Linked DNA regions of Macaca fascicularis. The protein of the gene in region 2 interacts with the protein of the main gene of each other region in a biochemical or structural test. Links are inferred from orthologs where the notes say so. Each region holds a gene or a part of one and is shown on either strand. Other genes may lie near its edges.

What was found. The genes of interacting proteins can lie anywhere in the genome.
Region 1: the proteins of TOPBP1 (region 2) and ATRIP form a complex in vitro, tested with the Homo sapiens proteins (2 studies listed by BioGRID). The link is inferred for Macaca fascicularis from reciprocal best matches to the Homo sapiens genes TOPBP1 and ATRIP.

What each region holds. Positions count from the first base shown.
Region 1 is NC_088376.1:111,419,567-111,429,869, reverse strand, and holds part of ATRIP (ATR-interacting protein), read right to left. Parts: intron 9,189-10,303; coding exon 9,070-9,188; intron 5,119-9,069; coding exon 4,961-5,118; intron 3,235-4,960; coding exon 3,139-3,234; intron 2,812-3,138; coding exon 2,682-2,811; intron 2,490-2,681; coding exon 1,800-2,489; intron 942-1,799; coding exon of another isoform or gene 833-941; exon of another isoform or gene 1-832. UniProt on the Homo sapiens protein: Required for checkpoint signaling after DNA damage. Required for ATR expression, possibly by stabilizing the protein.
Region 2 is NC_088376.1:36,562,524-36,572,826, forward strand, and holds part of TOPBP1 (DNA topoisomerase 2-binding protein 1), read right to left. Parts: intron 8,172-10,303; coding exon 7,813-8,171; intron 7,170-7,812; coding exon 6,997-7,169; intron 3,910-6,996; coding exon 3,698-3,909; intron 1,880-3,697; coding exon 1,593-1,879; intron 1-1,592. UniProt on the Homo sapiens protein: Scaffold protein that acts as a key protein-protein adapter in DNA replication and DNA repair. Composed of multiple BRCT domains, which specifically recognize and bind phosphorylated proteins, bringing proteins together into functional combinations.

The sequences.
Region 1 (10,303 bases), about 75 Mb from region 2:
ATAATGGTGTGTCTACCACCAGCAAAAACATGGTTTCTGGGATTCTTTTTTTTGAGATAGGGTCTCACTCTGTCACCTAGGCTGGAGTGCAGTGGCATGGTCACAGCTCACTGCCACCATGCCTGGCTAATTAAAAAAAAAAAAAAAATTGTAGAGATGGAGTCTCGCTTTGTTGCCCATGCTGGTCTCAAACTCCTGGGCTTAAGTGATCCTCCCACCTTGGCCTCCAAAAGTGCTGAGATTACAGGCAGGAGCCACTGTGCCCAGCCTGGGATTCATTCATTTAACAATTATTAAACAAATAACCAAGGCTGGGCCCAGTGGCTCACACCTATAATCCCAGCACTTTGGGAGGCCAAGGTGGGTGGATCACCTGAGGTCAGGCATTTGAGACCAGCCTGGCCAGCATGGTGAAACCCTGTCTCTACTAAAAATACAAAAATTAGCCGGGCGTGGTGGCAGGCACCTGTAATCCCAGCTTCTCAGGAAGCTGAGGCAGGACAACTGCTTGAACCTGGGAGATGGAGGTTGCAGTGAGCCGAGATTACACCATTGCACTCCAACCTGGGCAACAAGAGTGAAACTTCGTCTCAAAACAAAACCAAAAATAAACAAACAAAACAGCCACTATGAGCTGGGCCCCTGCTGGGCACTTGAGTGCTGGGTCTGCCTGATCCCACTGCCTACACTATACTGCGGTGCTGTGTCCAGCTCTGAGTACCACCTTTAGCATGGGCCAGACCAACCAAAAATATTCAGATGGAAACAGATCAGGAAACAGCAGTGCTGAGCTCAGAGATGAGATGGTTTCAGATACATTCAGCCAGTGGAATCATTCCAACATAGAAACTGGCCCTTTGGTAGAGTGCTGAGAGGGAGACTGGATTACTGGATGAGGGGATGGGCTGGCTGTGTTCACAGTTCTCCCCAGTCTTGTGGCTCTGGAATCCCAAGGGAGGAATTTATGATCAGTGTTCATTCGCTAGGTTCACTGTAATACTACTACCCACAAACCATAAGAGGAACATGCCACCCCAGATGCATGCTAAAGATGGGCACAATGACAGGCAGAGACTCCAGCAAGGTCAGCCTGCAGATCCTCCCCACATCCTCTGCTTCCTTAGGGAACCCACTAAACTTCAACGTGCTTGTGATATATGGTCTTCACCTTACCCACATCTCAGGTTCAGAGGCCCCTTGTCTTAGCCCTTGTTCTGGGACAGGGCCCTCCTCCACAGAGGTTAGCAGCCTCCTTTAATCATGTGTGCCTTCTGCTTACCTGTTGTTCAGAGGCAGAATTAAACCAAATAAACGGCCGGGCGCGGTGGCTCAAGCCTGTAATCCCAGCACTTTGGGAGGCCGAGACGGGCGGATCACGAGGTCAGGAGATCGAGACCATCCTGGCTAACACTGTGAAACCCCGTCTCTACTAAAAATATAAAAAACTAGCCGGGCGAGGTGGCGGGCGCCTGTAGTCCCAGCTACTCCGGAGGCTGAGGCAGGAGAATGGCCTAAACCCGGGAGGCGGAGCTTGCAGTGAGCTGAGATCCGGCCACTGCACTCCAGCCCGGGCTACAGAGCAAGACTCCGTCTCAAAAAAAAAAAAAAACCAAATAAACCACTTCCTTGGTTCTCCCATTTGGTCCCACTTCCCATCACTTCAGAACTCCCTGAACCAGGCCTTAGAACTAACTAGTGTAGATAAGTCAAGATGTGAGCAAAGTACAAGAGACACGGGTTAGACCTTAACAGGTCAGGTGAGACCCACAAAGAATCATGACTCCTATGCTGCTTTATACCTGGGCAAGAAATCAGAGGAAGTGTTTTCGGCTAATTTCACCAAAACCTTAAGGCACTGGGTCAGGACACTGGCTTGAAGGTGACCTGTTGCTGCAGAAGAGAAAGCCAACAGGTGAAGAAGCATCTTCAACAGTGGGTGCTGTCCTTGGTCATCAGCAACCCCCCTTGGGGCTGAGGTCATATCTCCATCACTAAACCTGTGAACCAGGCTCCCATTTCCTTCCCCAGCAGCAGAATCTGCCCCAACTCGTGACAGTAATAGGGAGACCACTGCTCCGCTGTGGCACACCAGGTGCTGAAGAATGCTAAGTGCAGTCACAGAGAAGCCTTCCAGGATGCACACTGAGTCCTCAGGGTTGGTCTCTACCCCAGAGCTCACGCGGGAGGAATGTGTCGGTGAGTCCCCAGGTGCTCCACTTCTCTTAGCAGCTGCCAAGTCCTGCAGGGCCTGGCAGTGTAAGCCGATGAAGAACTGTACAAGGGGGAGGAAATGCACGGCTCCAGGAAGCTGGCAGAGTGGGAAGGCCCTTCTGCCTCCCTCTGCTGGGTCTCCATCACGTGAGCACTCATTCCTGGCAACCAGATTCAGTCCAGTGAATGCCAGGTTCTGTGCTTCTCTCAGGGCTGAGAGGGAAAATGACCCATCCTGAGAACCTGTGGTCCTGAGGCCTGACATTCCAGCCAAGGTACTGGCAACAAACACAAAGAAAAATAGGTAAGTGTGGGATGGAGATAAGGTCAAGGGCCCCAAACAGCTTGCCTGCCAAATTCTCCAGGCTCCCTGCCCTTCCCACAGACTTCCCAGGCTGGCTAGGACCAGAAAGGAATTTGCTTCCAGGAAGCTCCTTCCCAAACAAGCTTTCCAGGAGTCTTATGCTTACCTGCCAAACCCTGGTGGCTGCAGGGGGGTGCCAGCAGGAGACTCAGAACTACTACTCAGGAGGTGGCACAGGCTTAGGGATGACCCTGGGATCAAAGGCTGCTTCAGGAGCAGGTTTATCAAAATGGAACCTGTGAAGACAAGGTGACTCTAGAAGGTTCTGACATGGGAGATCTTTTCTGTGGCCTCAGAAGGAAACAGTAAGGACTCTTTGGATGCCAACTGTCCTCTAAGTTGCCACTAAGCCCCAGGTAGATGCCTGTGGGTGCGGAAGGCTCTGGGACATACCTGCCTTTGGCCCTTTCCACTTTATAAAGTCTTCTGCTTAAGCCACATACTTTGACTTCCCTGGACTCCCTGAAGGACTGCCCAGGGCGCCGGTTCTCAGAGGCCTGGGCAATTCTTCTGCATATCACTCAGAGCCATGCAGGCCCCTGCAGAAGCAGGGATTCTGGTACCTTGAGTGTTTGATCTCTGTCTCCAGCTGTCAACAAAGCTTTTCTGGGCCTCTTCTTGTTTTATGGAGTCACCTCTCAGACTGTGGGTCTTACTATCTGAAATGTGATAAAATGTAAATCAAAACTTGAGCACAAAAGCATGGGCATATTAGAAACTTTTACATGCAATGAGTTTAAAACACAGGCTGTTCTACTTCTTCCACCTTGGATCAAACAAGAGCCAAAGCAGCTCAAAAGCCCTGCATTTTTTACCTTTCTTATGTAAAACAGGAACTCATACAAGGAAAGGAAAAGAAAATCAAGCTGTTTGCCTCACTCAAAATGAGGCAATTAGATAAAACAGTAACCACTAACATTGACATGGTGCTTGTTATGTGCTAGACACTGTTCTAAGAGCTTTACACACATCAGCCCATTTGTTCCTCAGTGACCCTACAAGTAGTTATCATTAGCTCTGTTTTACATATAGGGAAACTGAGGCACAGAGACTAAAGGACTTGCCCAAATTACATAAGCCAGTAAGTAGCATTACTGGGACTCACATCCAGGCTATTGGGCTCTACTGCCTGCTTGTAACACTACTGTACACTGCCACTTTAGCTGCTAGATTCCAAAAATGTAAGTGGGCTGCAGTTTCTCAGAAGTGTGTAATGGCCAAGGATTTGAAAGGTTGATGGTAAAAAGAGGGTCAATGTATCTGATTTATAAGATACATTGACATAGCAGTCTGAAAACCTACTGATGTTAGATTGTCTCTCTCAAAAAAACAGCAGCATCCCCTCAACCTGGACTGAGTTATAAAAACTCAAAAGCTGGACTACAAAAGGAAAACAGAGGCTGGGCACGGTGGCTCATGCCTGTAATCCCAGCACTTTGGGAGGCTGAGGTAGGTGGATCATGAGGTCATGAAATTGAGACCATCCACGCCAACATGGTGAAACCCATCTCTACTAAAAATACAGAAATTAGCTGGGCATGGTGGTGTGCACCTAGTCCCAGCTACTCGGGAGGCTGAGGCAGAAGAATCACTTGAACCTGGGAGGCAGAGGTTGCAGTGAGCCGAGATCACGTCACTGCACTCCAGCCTGGTGACAGAGTGAGACTCCACCTCAAAGAAAAAAAAAAAAAAGAAAAGAAAAACAGGTTCCTGCATACTACTGATGGTTTAAAAATATACCCACAACCATGATGGCAGGTGCCTGTAATCCCAGCTACTCGGGAGGCTGAGGCTGGAGAATCACTTGAACCCGGGAGGCAGAAGTTGCAGTGAGTCGAGATCGTGCCATTGCACTCCAGCCTGGGTGGGTGACAGAGTGAGACTCCGTCTCCAAAAAAACAAACAAACAAAAAAAGCCCACAAATGCTTTGACACACCTCCCTTCAAAGGGTATAGCTTGATTTCCCCTCCTTGAGTGAAGCCCAGACTCAGTGATTTGCTTCTAACAAACAGAATGTGGCACAGGTGACGCTGTGTGACTTCTGAGGCTAGGCCACAAAAGGACAGCTTCTGCCTGGCTCTCTCTCTCTCTGGATTTGCTGGCTTTAGAGGAAGCCACCCACCAGGTTATAAGGATACCCCGTATCCATGTGCAGAGGCCCATGCGGCAAGGAATTACACTGCCAGTCATGTGAGTGAGCCATCTTGAAATAGATCCTCCAGCTTAAGACAAGCTTTCAGTGATTCCAGTCCCTGCAGAGATTGTCCCCACTGTGCCCTGTCAGAATTGCTGATCACAGAAATTGGGAGAAAATAAATAACAATTGTTTTAAGCCACAAATTTGGGTAGTTTGTTAAAAAGCAATAGATGACTTATGGACTTACCCTCTCTGCCCACCAGCGGCTTGTATCCTGACTCTGTCTGGCAGGGGTGGGGAAGGGACATGTTAGCACTAAAAGACTCCTTTGTAGGAAAAGATGTTTTTCCAAATTGTGGAGAACATGCTTCTGGCTTTATAACCACAGAAGGGTTTTTCCTAGGACTGGAAAAAGTTAACTATGAAAGCAAAGTAATGATTCTACTAAAACAATTCAAAATACCTGGTTACAAAATTTCTAACAAACTTTAAACTTTTCATGTCTAGGTGTTTTAACCAAAGGTTTTATCTATTATGTCTACCATTCTTTGTCAGGGGAGCAGTGCAAAATTCCAGGCATTTGGTTTTCTTTTTTAAAAATATTTTTAAATTTTAATTTCTCTATAGAGATGGGGTTTCGCTAAGTTACCCACGCTGGTCTGGAACTCCTGAGCTTGAGTGATCCACCCACTTTGTTCTCCCAAAGTGCTGGGATTACGGGCATGATCCACCGTTACTGGCCAATTCCAGGCATTTTGATCCAAATCGTTGAAAAAGTTTTTTACTCATTTTTATATTTTTCTAATCATCCAAAAATATAATATTAGCCAAAATTCTTTTACTATTCTTTATTATCACTATTTCCAATTCCACCAAAACTTTTTTTTTTTTTTGCGACAGAGTCTTGCTCCGTTGCCCAGGCTGGAGTACTGTAGCATGATCATAGCTCACTGCAGCCTTGACCTCCTAGGCTCAAGCGATCCATCCACCTGTAATCCCAGCCTCCTGAGTAGCTGGGATTACAGGCACACACCAACATGACCAGATAATTTTTTTTTTTTTTTTTTGGTGAGACAGTGTCTCACTCTGTTGCCCATGCTGGAGCCCAGTGGCACAATTATGGCTCACTGTGGCCTCGACCTCTTGGGCTCAGTGATCCTCCCACCTCATCCTTCTGAGTAGCACAGGGACTACAGGTATGCAACCACCACATCTGGCTAACTTTTTATTCTTTCTAGAGATAGAGTTATTTCTAGAGATTGGGTTTCACCATGTTGCCTAGGCTAGTCTTGAACTCATGGGCTCAAATGATCAGCCCACCTCAGCTTCCTAAAATGCTGGGATTACAGGCGTGAGCCACCAGGGCCGGTAATTTTATTTTATTGTTTTTTTAGTAGCAGTGGGGTTTTGCTATGTTGCCCAGGCTGGTCTCGAACTCCTAGCCTTAAGCAATCTTCCTGCCTTAGCCTCCTGTGTAGCTGGGATTGCCTGTGTAGCTACCATGCCTGGTGCAAAACATCTTTTCAATGTGGAACAAACTGTTTTTTTTTTTTTTCTGGGACAGAGTCTCGTTCTGTTGCCCAGGCTGGAGTACAGTGGTGTGATCTTGGCTCACTGCAACTTCTGCCTCCAGGTTCAAGTGATTCTCCTGCCTCAGCCTCCCAGGTAGCTGGGATTACAGGCGCATGCCACCATGCCCAGCTAATTTTTATATTTTCAGTAGAGACAGGGTTTCACCATGTTGGCCAGGTTGGTCTCGAACTCCTGACCTCAAGTGATCTGCCCGCCTCAGCCTCCCAAAGTGTTGGGATTACAGGTGTGAGTCACTGTTCCCAGCCAATGTGGAACAAACGATTTTTTAATAGTCACAAGACTTCCAGGCTGGGTGTGGTGGCTCACACCTGTAATCCCAGTAATTTGGGAGGCTGAGGCGGATGGATCACCTGATGTCACATGGTGATATCCCGTCTCTACTTAAAAAAAAATACAAAAAATGCCGGGCGCGGTGGCTCACGCCTGTAATCCCAGCACTTTGGGAGGCCGAGGCGGGCGGATCACAAGGTCAGGAGATCGAGACCACGGTGAAACCCCGTTTCTACTAAAAATACAAAAAATTAGCCAGGCGCGGTGGCGGGCGCCTGTAGTCCCAGCTACTCAGGAGGCTGAGGCAGGAGAATGGCGTGAACCCGGGAGGCGGAGCTTGCAGTGAGCCGAGATTGCACCACTGCACTCCAGCCTGGGCGACAGAGCGAGACTCTGTCTCAAAAAAAAAAAAAAAACAAAAAAAAAAACAAAAAAAACCCAAAAAAACTAGCCTGGCGTGGTGGTGTGTGCCTGTAATCCCAGCTACTTGGGAGGCTGAGACAGGAGAATCACTTGAACCTGGGAAGTGGAGGTTGCAGTGAGCTGAGATCATGCCACTGCACTCCAACTTGGGCAACAGAGCGAGACTCTGTTTCAAAAAAAAAACTTCCAATAGAATGCAAAGACTTTAAATAGAAAAAGAGTTATCAAAATAAGTATCAAAATTTTGATAAACCTATTAAGTATGTTGAAAACTGAGCAACTTCTCAGTGCTAATGTCTTTATGTTAGAGAAGCAGTGTTAACCCTCTGATCTGATCATATAATGCTGAGGTCTTTCTGTTACTGATGTGTGAAGAGGATCCCCTCAGCTCTCTTATGTGGACAATGCAAGGCATGGAGAGTTCAGTTTCACACACTGCCCATTATGAGCAAAGGCAGCAGAATGTTCAAAACCAGAAGATGCCCTGACACTTTTCAAATCTCAAGGCTGGGCCAGGCACAGTGGCTCATGCTTGTAATCCCAGTAGTTTGAGAGGCCCAGGCTGGCAGATCATTTGAGTCCAGGAGTTCGAGACCAGCCTGGCCATGATGAAACCCCATCTCTAAAAATACAAAAAGTAGCCAGGTGTGGTGGTGCATGCCTGTAATCCCAGCTACTCGGGAGGCTGAGGCAGGAGAATCACTTGAATTTGGAAGGTGGAGACTGCAGTGAGCCGAGATCACACCATTGCACCCCCGCCTAACAGAGTGAGACTCCATCTCAAAACAACAACCACAACAACAAAAAACCACAGCAAATTTCAAGGCTGATACTGACAGTGCCAGACATCTCTGTAAGGCAGAGGGCAGGACAGATCATTAACAAGTTGAGGCCAGGCACGGCGGCTCATGTCTGTAACTCAGCACTTTAGGAGGCCGAAGTGGGAGGATTGCTTGAGCCCAGGAGTTCAAGATTAGCTTGAGCAACATAGTGAGACCCCGCCTCTGTATAAAAACAAAACAAGGCCGGGCTCAGTGGCTCACGCCTGTAATCCCAGCACCTTGGGAGGCCGAGGAGGGTGGATCACGAGGTCAGGAGTTTGAGATGAGCCTGGCCAACATAGTGAAACCTCATCTCTACTAAAAATACAAAAATTAGCTGGGCGTGGTGGTGTGTGCCTGTAGTCCCAGCTACTCAGGCTGAGGGAGAATTTTTTGAACCCAAGAGGTGGAGGTTGCAGTGAGCTTGAGATTGTACCACTGTACTCCAGCCTGGGTGACAAAGTGAGACTCTGTCTCAAAAAAAAAGAAAAACAAAAAAGTTGAGCACATCTGACCACAAAGAATGGGGCTGTTGGACAAGGGTCCCCAGACAGCAAATAAGAAAAAATATTCCAAGTAGCTGGAACTAAAATACACTCATGCTTGCAACAAAATCAGTTAAACAAATTACATAAAAGTAAAGACTGGCCCACCCCCAAAATTTGGAGATCATTTCTCCAGGTCTTTCTTTCTTTTTTTTTTTTTTTTCTGAGACAGAGTCTCGCTCTGTCACCCAGGCTGGAGTGCAGTGGCGTGATCTCAGCTCACTGCAAGCTCTGCCTCCCAGGTTCATGCCATTCTCCTGCATCAGTCTCCTGAGTAGCTGGGACTACAGGCACCCGCCACCATGCCCGGCTAATCATTTTGTATTTTTAGTAGAGACAGGGTTTCACCGTGGTCTCAATCTCCTGACCTTGTGATCCGCCCACCTTGGCCTCCCAAAGTGCTGGGATTACAGGTGTGAGCCACCACACCCGGTCCGTTTTTCCAGGTCTTTCTGGTCCAGAGGAATTATGTTTGTAAAGTGCCATATAGTGGCAGCATTTCTAGAGTATGGGCCTTTATGCTGTGATGTCTCAAACCACGCAAGCTTCATCTACACCACCTCTGAATCCTTCAGGAAAAGAGGATCTCTGTCCAGGTGGCAGGGTCTAAATGACCTTCATTTAGGACTGGCCTGACATTGTTATGCAGATTGTTTACTAAATAATGCAAAACTGAACTATCCCTCCTCCAGCACCATCATTACCTGACATGGGAAACAGAGGGAGCAGCCAGTTTATTTGCGCGTTCACTGGTCTGGAGCTTTGTCCTTAATTCATTCATCTCTGCATCTTTAAACTGGAGTTCAGACTGCAATGATTGGAGCTGGAAGGCAAAAGAAACATGCTTGTAGTGGCCCCATCATATACACAAAAATATCTCTGGGCTTCAAAATCACAAGCCAGTAAAAGACAAACAATGAAAAAATACATATGAAAGTCTGCTGTGACATAAACGTCCTAAAATATCAAACATTAGCTTTCTTTCTGAAAGACAATATGGTGCGCTAAAAAGATAATGGACTCTAACTATTATAAGGGTAGTTTGTGAGGGTTCAAATACCAGCCCTGGCTGGGTGTGGTGGCTCAGGCCTGTAATCCTAAGCACTTTGGGAGGTTGAGGCAGGAGGATCATTTGAGTCTAGGAGTTCGAGACCAGCCTGGGCAAAATAGCAAGACATTGCCTCTACAAAAAATTTAAAAAATAGACCGGGCGCAGTGGCTCAAGCCTGTAATCCCAGCACTTTGGGAGGCCGAGATGGGCGGATCACAAGGTCAGGAGATCGAGACCATCCTGGCTAACCCGGTGAAACACCGTCTCCACTAAAAAATACAAAAAACTAGCCGGGCGAGGTGGCGGGCGCCTGTAGTCCCAGCTACTTGGGAGGCTGAGGCAGGAGAATGGCGTGAACCCAGGAGGCGGAGCTTGCAGTGAGCTGAGATCCAGTCACTGCACTCTAGTTTGGGCGATAGAGCGAGACTCCGTCTCAAAAAAAAAAAAAAAAAAAATTAAAAAAATTAAAAAAAGAATTAAATACCAGCCCACCATTTACTAAATGTCTTTGAACTCTAGCTTATTTGAAACATAAAATGCCTGTCTTCATCATCGTTGGGAGGATTAAGCAGAATGATGAGTGTAAAACACTCAGCACAGAGCTTGGTAAGGGGCTCTATGTCAGCAGTAACATACTGACCTTTATTAACCAATGCAATGGTGCACAATTCCAGGTCTTCTTCAAAGTTTGGGAAGAGTATTTGGAATAGTTTACCAAGACACTGTGCAGTATAGAGACACCTGCTGCTCTGGCCTGTAGGTGCCACACCCAACAGTAACTGCCATCATTCCCCAAGCACACTCTGTGCCAGGCCCAGCACCAGACACAGTAAGTGCAAGAACGTGTGAGTCTCCCAACAACCTTTCTGGTTATGTTTTGGAACAGA
Region 2 (10,303 bases):
CTCTGATGTATATTAATTAAAAATTAACTTTAAATAAGAGGTGAATTTTTTGGTGGGGAGGGAAGGTGAGGCCTAAGAGATGGTCAATTTTGTGATTATTCCATAGGCCCTTTCATGTTTTGAGTAAATAATTCAATATACCATATTATATCAGTTTGAAGAACCACTGATTATAAGATGAAGCATTATTTATGTGCCATCAAAAAAGAAAGAAAAAGGAGAAAAAACACTGCTCAATATTATGACTCTAAACAATAAAATCTTTAAATGTGTTTTTTGTACTCACGCTATTCAGAACTATCAGCTTTCCACTGCAAAACTTTTATTGCAAAGTATCTACATAAGAATGGTCTCGATGACTGAAAATATTTCTACTGTTTTCTTGCCTACTAATATTATTACATTTGCTCTTCGGAGAGTCTGTGAGTTATGAGACTTCAGAGATCATCTGGATTTTACAGATGAGAATAATGAAGCCGAAAGAGGTTGACTTGCTTTTAAAAGGCAGTAGGGGACAAAGAAGAGACTTGATCCTACACCTCACAGTTCCCAAGACTGATTTTCCTTTATTTCTTAAAGGATATGGACCTGAGTATTAATCACAGTACAAAATGTTACCTCAGAAGAGATTTCATGTGAAAACTTAGAATTTTGAGTTTAATAGTAAAGACTTTTTTTTTCATGTGGGTCACTGGAATTCTCACCAAAAATAAAGACATAAATTAGCTTGGGGAAAATTGTCCTGGATATCAGTTAATATTTATTTTCTGAATATGAATAATCTGTAAACTTTTTAGTAAGTCTGCTCCAAAACACACTAATAAAAATTATTAAAATATTGCTTCTAAATACCCTACAAGCAAAAATATCAACAGACAAATGAGTAAAATAATTCTGCAAAGGTTTGTAGATAAAGAAATCATAGACAACGGTTTGAACAGCCACTTAAGACGTCAAAAGCTACTAAAGAAATAGTGATGAAAATCAGCTTTGGAAAATAAAAGAAAATCATATGGAAGATTTTATTAGCCCCTGATTTGCAAACAAATTTTTCAGAAAGGGAGCCATACTATACTGCTCAGGAGATCAAACTAAAACACAGACTTAACTCATGTCTTTACAGGAAACAATTCAAGTAAGGTGATACACACACATTTTCAGAAGGCAAATCGTGGCTGTACTCTGAGAACCAACATATAAAGTAGCAGTGTGTTTACATTTTATAGTTTATAAAGTGATTTCATCATTTGATGTTTATAATCTATGAATTTTCAGAGCAAATATTATCTTCTTTGTATGAAGAAACAAACTGAAGCTCAGGTATGTTAAATGATCGGCCTAGTCATACAGTTCAAGATTGATCTAGTACTTGAACCCAGATGTCCTAATTTCATACCATATTTATCTATAGCTCTTACCTTAACCCTAAATGTATTTTGGGACTCAAAACATTCAAACGCAATAACAAAAATCTACTTGCCAATGTCTCTGGAAAATTTACTACTACACTTTAGAGGTGATGCTGAATTTGGTGCTTTAACTTTATAAACGGTAAAACTGTTAACTCTGGGACCATTGCCTATAAAGCTTACCTTCACATCAAAGGAAGGCTTGAAGAGTTTGTCCTTGGACAGGAATTTTGATGGTGTATCCAGGTGTAGTGAGGGCTCCTTCTGAAGTGGTTGTCCTACTGCTGGGGAGGCTGAAACCTGTCTGGCATGTTGTGAGACCACAGCACGGAAAGCTTTACTCTGAAAGCGATTCATATCTAAAGGTGTAATGACGGTTTTTCTGTGAGTTTGCAGGCGTGTGCCAGGATGCTCTGCAGTATCTGAATTTAGATTGATTCCATTTGTTATTTCTGTTTCCAAACTTCGTTCTAGAGATTTAAAATGAAAAGAAACAAATATGAGCCACTAATGCCCACTTTTTTCCAGTACACAAGAAGTAATGTTTTACATCTGTTTTATTTCCTTTCTTTCTTGCATAACTCTTGGGCTCAAGTGATCCATCTACCTTGTCATCCCAATCTAACTGTTAGTTTTCATGTCAATTCTTAGTACACTTTAAATGACAAAATTATATACCCACTTTCCAAGAAACAAACCAGATTATGCATTAAATATATGTTGAGTTAGACAAGCACATTAACTGAAAAACTAAAAATAGATTTCCTGTTTCATCTTGCTATGTCTCAATAAGCCTATTTGCCAAAAATTGTATCAGTGAATGTCTTTCTAGTCAATGACAGGCTACAAAGAAAATCTGAATTACTCAGAGTTAACTACAGTAAAGTTTTGGAAAGCCCTTAATCAAATTTTAATACGACCTAAACATCACTTAGCCTCAGTCATAAAATTACCAGTCTGTCTGGCAAAATAAGTAATGACTCTGAGAGGTGTTCCCAAGCTGCTGATATGCCCCTGAAGTTTGCCCAGGAATGCTATTATCTTACAAGAGAGGGTACTGTATTCTTCCACCTCTGCCTTCCACCTGTTTTCAACATTTAACAAAAAAACTTATTAGATAGCTACTCCATGCCAGGCCTAGTGTTAGACACGGGAAATACAGAATTCACAAGACATGCATGTTCACTGCCTTTCTGGAACTTATAATTTAGCAGGGAGACACAAAATAAACCACCATTATAACACCGAGGTAAGAGATAAAAGGGATGATACAGAGTGTCATGGTGAAACAAAACATTACACCAAGACAAAAGGCCATACTTAGTGAGTCAAGAAAGGCTTCCCAAGACAGTGTGGCGATTCCTCAAGGATCTAGAACTAGAAATACCATTTGACTCAGTGATCCCATTACTGGGTATATAACCAAAGGATTATAAATCATGCTACTATAAAGACACATGTACACGTATGTTTATTGTGGCACTATTCACAATAGCAAAGACTTGGAACCAACCCAAATGTCCATCAATGATAGATTGGATTTGGATTAAGAAAATGTGGCACATATACACCATGGAATACTATGCAGCCATATAAAAGGACGAATTCATGTCCTTTGTAGGGACATGGATGAAGCTGGAAACCATCATTCTGAGCAAACTATCACAAGACAGAAAATCAAACACCGCGTGTTCACACTCATAGGTGGGAATTGAACAATGAGAACACTTGGACACAGGGCGGGGAACGTCACACACCGGGGCCTGTTGTGGGGTACGGGGGTGGGGGAGAGATAGCATTAGGAGAAATACCTAATGTAAATGACGAATTAATGGGTGCAGCAAACCACCATGGCACATGTATATATGTAACAAACCCGCATGTTGTGCAAAAGCACCCTAGAACTTAAAGTATAATAATAATTAAAAAAAAAAAAGAAAAAAAAAAGAAAGGCTTCCCAGTGAAAGTGGTATCTTAGCTGAGAACTGAAAGATAAGAAGGAAGAGCTGGCAACTGTGAGGTGGTCTACAGGAAACATGCAGAAGCCCAAAGATAAGAGGAGAGAGAGCACATTAATTACATGGTATGTTACTGTGAGCCATCGAAGGAATCAACAATAAATAGGAGCCAGGCTTACATCTTTAGACTTCAAACACTGAGACCCTCACTGCACCCAATGTGAAAAGCGAAAATCAATGACCTTTTCTAAACACAAGCATTGGCACGTTTATATCCCAGAAACCATCCAGTTGTAAATATATATAAAATAACAGAATAAAAGTATTAACCTTCTTCAGACGAATTTTCAATCAGAAAATGGCTTTCGTCTGCTCTCTTTCCCGTTCTAGCAGTCTCCAACAGCCAAGCTATAGTAACTGCAGGTAAATTCCACTTCTTTGCAGCTTCATATTTAGAGCCACCAGGTTCCTTCAATATAAGATGAGTACTGGCAAACATGCCTTTCTTTGCATTGGATTTGCGAACAAAGTATTCTTGAACACTGAAATTTATATTTAAAGAAGTGGAAATGGTCACATATACAATTCACCCGCAACACTTAAGAACAACATTTCCAACACAACAGTGTGATTAGAGATCATGTAAGTATAAAAAAAATACTGATTAAAAGTTGGTTTATTCTATCTGAAATTAAGCTAATCCCCTTACAAATGCTTACTCTAGGGTAAAAATGTATTGCTGTAACAAATTTTTTATAAAAACATAATTAGACGTATTATGTTTTCAGACAATTAGACAATTATGCATAATTAGACATACAAAGAACCGACAGCAAAATTACTTCCTTTTGAGACAGGGTCTTGTCTTGGTATGTTGTCCAGACTGGAGTGCAGTGGCACAATCACAGCTCACTGCAACCTCCACTTCCCAGGCTCAAGCTATCCTCCCACCTCAGCCTCCCCAGTAGCTAGGACTACAGGTGTAGTTCCTAACCACCACATCTGGCTAATTTTTGTATTTTTTGTAGAGATGGGGTTTCACCATGTTGCCTAGCCTGGTCTCAAACTCCTGAGCTCAAGTGATCCTCCTGCTTCAGCCTCCTAAAGTTGGGATTACAGGCGTGAACCACCTCACACAGCCAAAATTACCTCCTAAATTAGTTATCACCCCCACACTTTGTCCTTTCCCCCCAAAAGAAGGCAAGGAAGAAGTGACAGGAGCAAAGTGTATAAATAACACATTATTATTATTTTTTAACCTACTACAACTTTCCAAAGCATTTCTACATATTATCTCATTTGATCCTCTCAATATTTAAGTATCGATATGGGAAAAAATAGAGAGAAATTAAATGCCTCAAGATCACAGGATATTACACACAGAGAATACAGGGCAGAAAAAGAAGTCTATGACTTGGGAGTGAACCGAATTCCATGATTTCTTTTATGACTTCTGGGTTTTACGTTCCAGTTCCCAACTTTTCAGATTTTTTAATTTCCCATGTTTCCTGACACTTTTTTTCTATGTTATGTGTTTATCCTAGTACTTTTATAACTTCATTTTTTATATTTAACCCACTAATCCATTCAGTACTTATTTAGATATGAGATATTGCTCCAGCTTTAATGAATCCTATTTATTGAATAAGCCATGTCTTCCTTAATAATTTGAAATGTCACTTTTATCGTAAATTCCTTTGTGTATTTGAGTCTCCTGCCACTCTTGCTGTCCCTGAATTAAACTTTCTGCTACACGCAACTACACTGTTATTTAGTGAAGTTTCACAAAATATATGTTTGTTTGTTTTCTGAGACAGGGTCTTGCTCTGTCCTCCAGGCTAGAGTACAGTGGCGCCATTGTGACTCACTGCAGTCTTGACCTCCCAAGCTCAAACAATACTCCCACCTCAGCCTCCCAAATAACTGAGACTACAGATTTATGCTACACTGCCTGGCTCATTTTAAAAATTTTTTTTAAAGACAGAGTCTTAGTATATTGCCCAGGCTGGTCTTGAACTTGGCCTCCTGCCACAGCCTCTCAAAGTGCTAGGATTACAGGCATGAGCCACCACACCTGGCCACAAAATGTATTTTAATAACTGTTAGGGCTAGTCCCAATTATTCTATTTCAGAATTTGCATGACTTTCCTGCTGAATGCAGCTTTAGTTGCATCCAGTGGAGTCTGTTGTCATGTATGTTATTATCTTCCACAATTTCGGTTTTAAAAGAATTTTTTTGTTTCATATAATTCAAACAGAAAACAGCAAAAAAGGAAATATACAGCTCAATGAATTATTATAAGGTGAAACCCTTAAGTCCACCACCCATGTCAGAAGACAGAATCTCGCTAACCACCCCAGAACCTCTCCAACATGCCATACAACCTCCGTTGCCTCCCTTCTTAATAGTAGCCACTATTTGGGCTTTTTTTTTTTGGAGACGGGGTTTCATTTTGTTGCCCTGGCTGAAGTATAGTTGTGTGATCATAGCTCACTGCAGCCCTGGTCTCCTGGGCTCAAGCAATCCTCCTGCCTTAGCCTCCCGAGTAGTTGGGACCATAAGCACATGCCACCATGCCTGGCTCATTTTTTTAAAATTATTTTTTAAATAGAGATGAGGTCTCACTATGTTGTCCAGGCTGGTCTTAAACTCCTGAGCTCAAGCAATCTTTTGGCCTCCCAAAGTGCTGGGATTACAGGTATGAGCCACTGTGCTCAGTCTATTTGGACACTTACAGTAATCACTTCTTTACTTTTCTATAATCAAATAATGGCATCTTTAAAGACTATATTTAGGCTTTTGCTTTTTCATGTCTTTTAGCTTATAGGTTCCTACCTTCTTTTCCATGCCCTTAATATACATTCGTTGAAGACACTGGATCATTTATGCCATAGAGTTGTACCAAAGTCTGGGTCTTGCTGATTATATCATTGTGGTGTAGTTTAACGTGTTATTCTGCTGTTTGCATTTCCTATAAATTGGGAATTGGATCTAGAAGCATCATCAGATTGAGGTTTGATTATTTTGGCAAGACTACTTCAAAGTGGTGGTGTATTCTTCATAAGAAGGCACATCATATCTTGTCCCTTTATTGTGTGATTAACTATTGATGTTCAATGCCTAGATTCTTTCATTCATTAGGGGTTACAATCTTATCATTCTTTGTTTGTTTGTTTGTTGAAACATCTTTAAAAATGGAAACTTTGCCATATCCACTATCATGTTACCCTGATGCAAACTGCACAGGAAATGCAGGTTAAATTACTTGATCCTTTCCTTTTGTCAGCTTTCAAAGTAATAGACTGGTCCCCTAGCATCTTTCAAAGATCATCAATTACCTTAGTTTATTTGGTGTCATTATGAAGTCACGACTTAAACACTATTTCATGTATTTGGATCCACTGCAGTTATTATCTCTTATGATACCTAAGTCTTCATCTTTGGACAATGGAGGTACTTTTTTTTTTAAGGCTAGTCAAGTGAAGCAGTGGGAGGGGAGAAGGAACTATATAACATTCATAAATATAATAAAGACACCCAACCAAATTCTAATTTGAATGCTCTCCAAGAAGTCAAAATAAATAAAAAGATACACCAACACAACAGGTGCATTAAAAAGATCACATACCTTGCTCCAAGGAGGTTTGCTAGGAATGTTAAAGACTCTTTTTCTGCTCCAGCACACTGGCTAAATGAAATAACACAATCCTCTAAAGGAGTCATTCCTGTCATTACTGGGACTGGTGTGAAGAGAGGATTCGACTTTGGATCAAACAAAGTCTGAAAGTCTATGCAAGTAACCTTTTAAAAACAAGAGAAACAGTAAAGCCAACCTGAAATAAGCAGCCAGTGGTTAACACTCATTCAGGCACATGAGCAATAATTCAGTTTTGATAAGAAGTTTTACTTTAATACAAACCTGTGTATGCTCATTCTCAATACATTTCATATCATAACGTTAAAATATACATATACATACACACATATGCATACATCGACTGATTACATTAGGCTATTACAATCAGTAAGATCTATCATTGGAGTTATTGAATGTTGCTTTACATTTCATTCCTTCCAATGTATTACACTATTTTTCTCATAATTCTTGGAACGTTAAAAAAAAAAAATCAACAGTGAAATTACCCGTGATGCTTCGGTTGTAAGAAAACAGGACAAACAGTATGAGATGACCCTATAGTGACCTCCTAAGAAGGAATGTTGCTGCTGTGGCCTCTGGGAAAGAGTAACCTCTACCGTATTAGGATTAGGCCCAAGAAACTTGCACATTTAACTTTAGAATTTCCCTTGCTAAAAGTAAAATCAAGAGTGTTCAAATCCAAACACCGATTTACTGTAACTGAACTGCCTAAGAAACAAACATTAACCTTCTTGGCACTCAGATAATCTTCAATACTTTATTGCAACCACTACAGTGTTGTCTTACCAGCCACGTGTTTGTAACAACTTCTCCCACAGTGGCTTCTACTTCACACCCCAGCAGAGGAACCACAGCATAATCGGCAACAGTTCTGCTCAGAAGGGACATGATTTTCCCAGCATTTTCTTTGATGATGCTTGCAATGTTAGATTCATTTTCATTACTAAAACCCAAAACAAGGAAACTCTTTTGGCTAAATAAGCCTTCTTCAGTAATTGTAGAAACATCAGGGACGCAATGACTGACAGAAGACTGGTTTTCTTCTTGCAAAGAAACGTGAGTAGAATCATTCAAGGGCTCAGCACGGGTAGAATTATTAAAGGGCCTAACTTCAGACTTCTCGGCTTCAGACGTCTTAGCCTCCACTGAAAGAGAAAAGTACATGTTTTCTAACCAACAATTTACCCTATAAAGTTCATTTCTAGCAAGGATTTTAATGTAACATGGAATCTGAGAATTTTGACCATACTTATAAAACTAAAGCTTACGTGTATAATAAAGGGATATGGATTCACTCCGTCTTCGGGGTTACCAAGAGTCCATTAGGAAGGACAAGAGCAATCATGTTAGTCCTAGGTATGCCTAGTATAATAGACACTTGAATTCGTTTAAAATTATATAGCTCCTACAGGACTGTCTTAGTTCCGAAACTGGTTTAGATGATTCACCACAAAACTAACAAAATACCATTAAGAAAAAAATCAACAAGTCTAAATGGTGTAACTGTCAAGCCCTTAACATGGAACATGTTAATATGGAAATGACTATAAGGAAGTGGCTGGCAAATCCTAAAATATTTATTGTCTACTCCTTTAGAGAAAAAGTTTACCCTGCCACGTGATTCCAACAAGGCTGGAAGCTATTCAAGAATCACTCTATCATTTATATAAGCACTGTGACTAACTGCTTTACATGCATGTAATGCTCACATAATGCTAACTGTGAGGCTGATACTATCAGCACATCCCTTCTGTCCAAAAGGAGTCTCAGGCTTGAAAAGGTTATGTAACTTGCCTAAGGTCACACAGTTAAGTGGCAGAAATGAGATACGAACCAAAGTCTGTCTGACTCCAGAGTTCATAACACCAGGTTATAGTGCCATCTTCGTACTTCTATCCTCATCTCCAAGAGACACTAGCATTTTCATTTTTAAGTAAATTGTAATATATATTAGGAACTTGTAAATTAAGTACATTGCAATATATATTAGGAACTTATGACTCCTACTAAACATAAGTATTAAAATTCTTCTTATTCACACTGAGGAAGCATAGTTTTGTCTACAGAGTTTACTGATCAGTAAGTCAGGAGAGATGGGTTCTAGTTTTATAGCCTCTTTGACCCTTGGTTTCATAATACAAGGAATAAAAGACAATAGTATACTTACAATTTATAGATATACTCATGAGAATGAATATGCTTAGATGGAATTAAAGGTGACGCAATACTATAAAACATTCCGGAAAGTTCTTTTAACGGTTTTGTTAAAATGCAAACAGTTTGTTTTATAAGTGAAACCCTTTTTATTTTTTGCAAGTACAATTATTTTGCAGTCACATCTAGGGGAAAAAAAAACTTTGTTCGATGTCTACATGTTGTTGGTAAGATGGGAAGGAGGAAGAAATTCCGTAGAATTTTAGACTACTACTATAAAAACAAAGTAGAAATACTAAGTTCTTAATAAACCATCAGTAAAACTCTGAAGTTAAGAGACTCATAACAAACTAACATGTTTTACAGCAGTTCTTTCCATTTATTTTAGCAGTAGGATCTCTTTTCAAACAGATCGCATCCAAAAGCCTAAGAGATACTACGTAACAAACCTATTATTCAAAAAGCTCCCCTAGGGCCGGGCGCGGTGGCTCAGGCCTGTAATCCGAGCACTTCAGGAGGCCGAGGCAGAAGGATCACAAGGTCAGGAGTTTGAGACCAGCCTGGCAAACATGGTGAAACCCCATCTCTACTAAAAATACAAAAATCAGCTGAGCATGGTGGCGTGTGCTTGTAATCCCAGCTACTTGGGAGGCTGAGGCAGGAGAATCGCTTAAATCCAGGAGGTGGAGGTTGCAGTGAGCCACGACCATGCCACTGCACTCCAGCCTGGTGACACAGCGAGACTCCATCTCAAAAAAAAAAAAAAAAAAAAAAAAAAACTCCCTTAAATCAAAAGCAATTCTAAGAATTAATTATAAAATATTTTACTATAGATTTTCTCAGATGCTTGGTGATCCACTGAGATTTACTATCACTTAATCCTTACAAAGTCAGTAAACCACTAGCAGCCTTAGAAAGGAAGGTTTAAGAAACTAATCACCTGCCCTACACCAAGTACCCTTGTCTGAAGGATAGTATATAAAATCGCTAGCTGGGTGTGGTGGCTCACGCCTGTAATCCCAACACTCTGGGAGGCTAAGACAGGAGGATTACATGAGGCCAGGAGTTTGAGACCAGCCTGGCCAACATGGTGAAACCCTATCTCTACTAAAAATACAAAAAT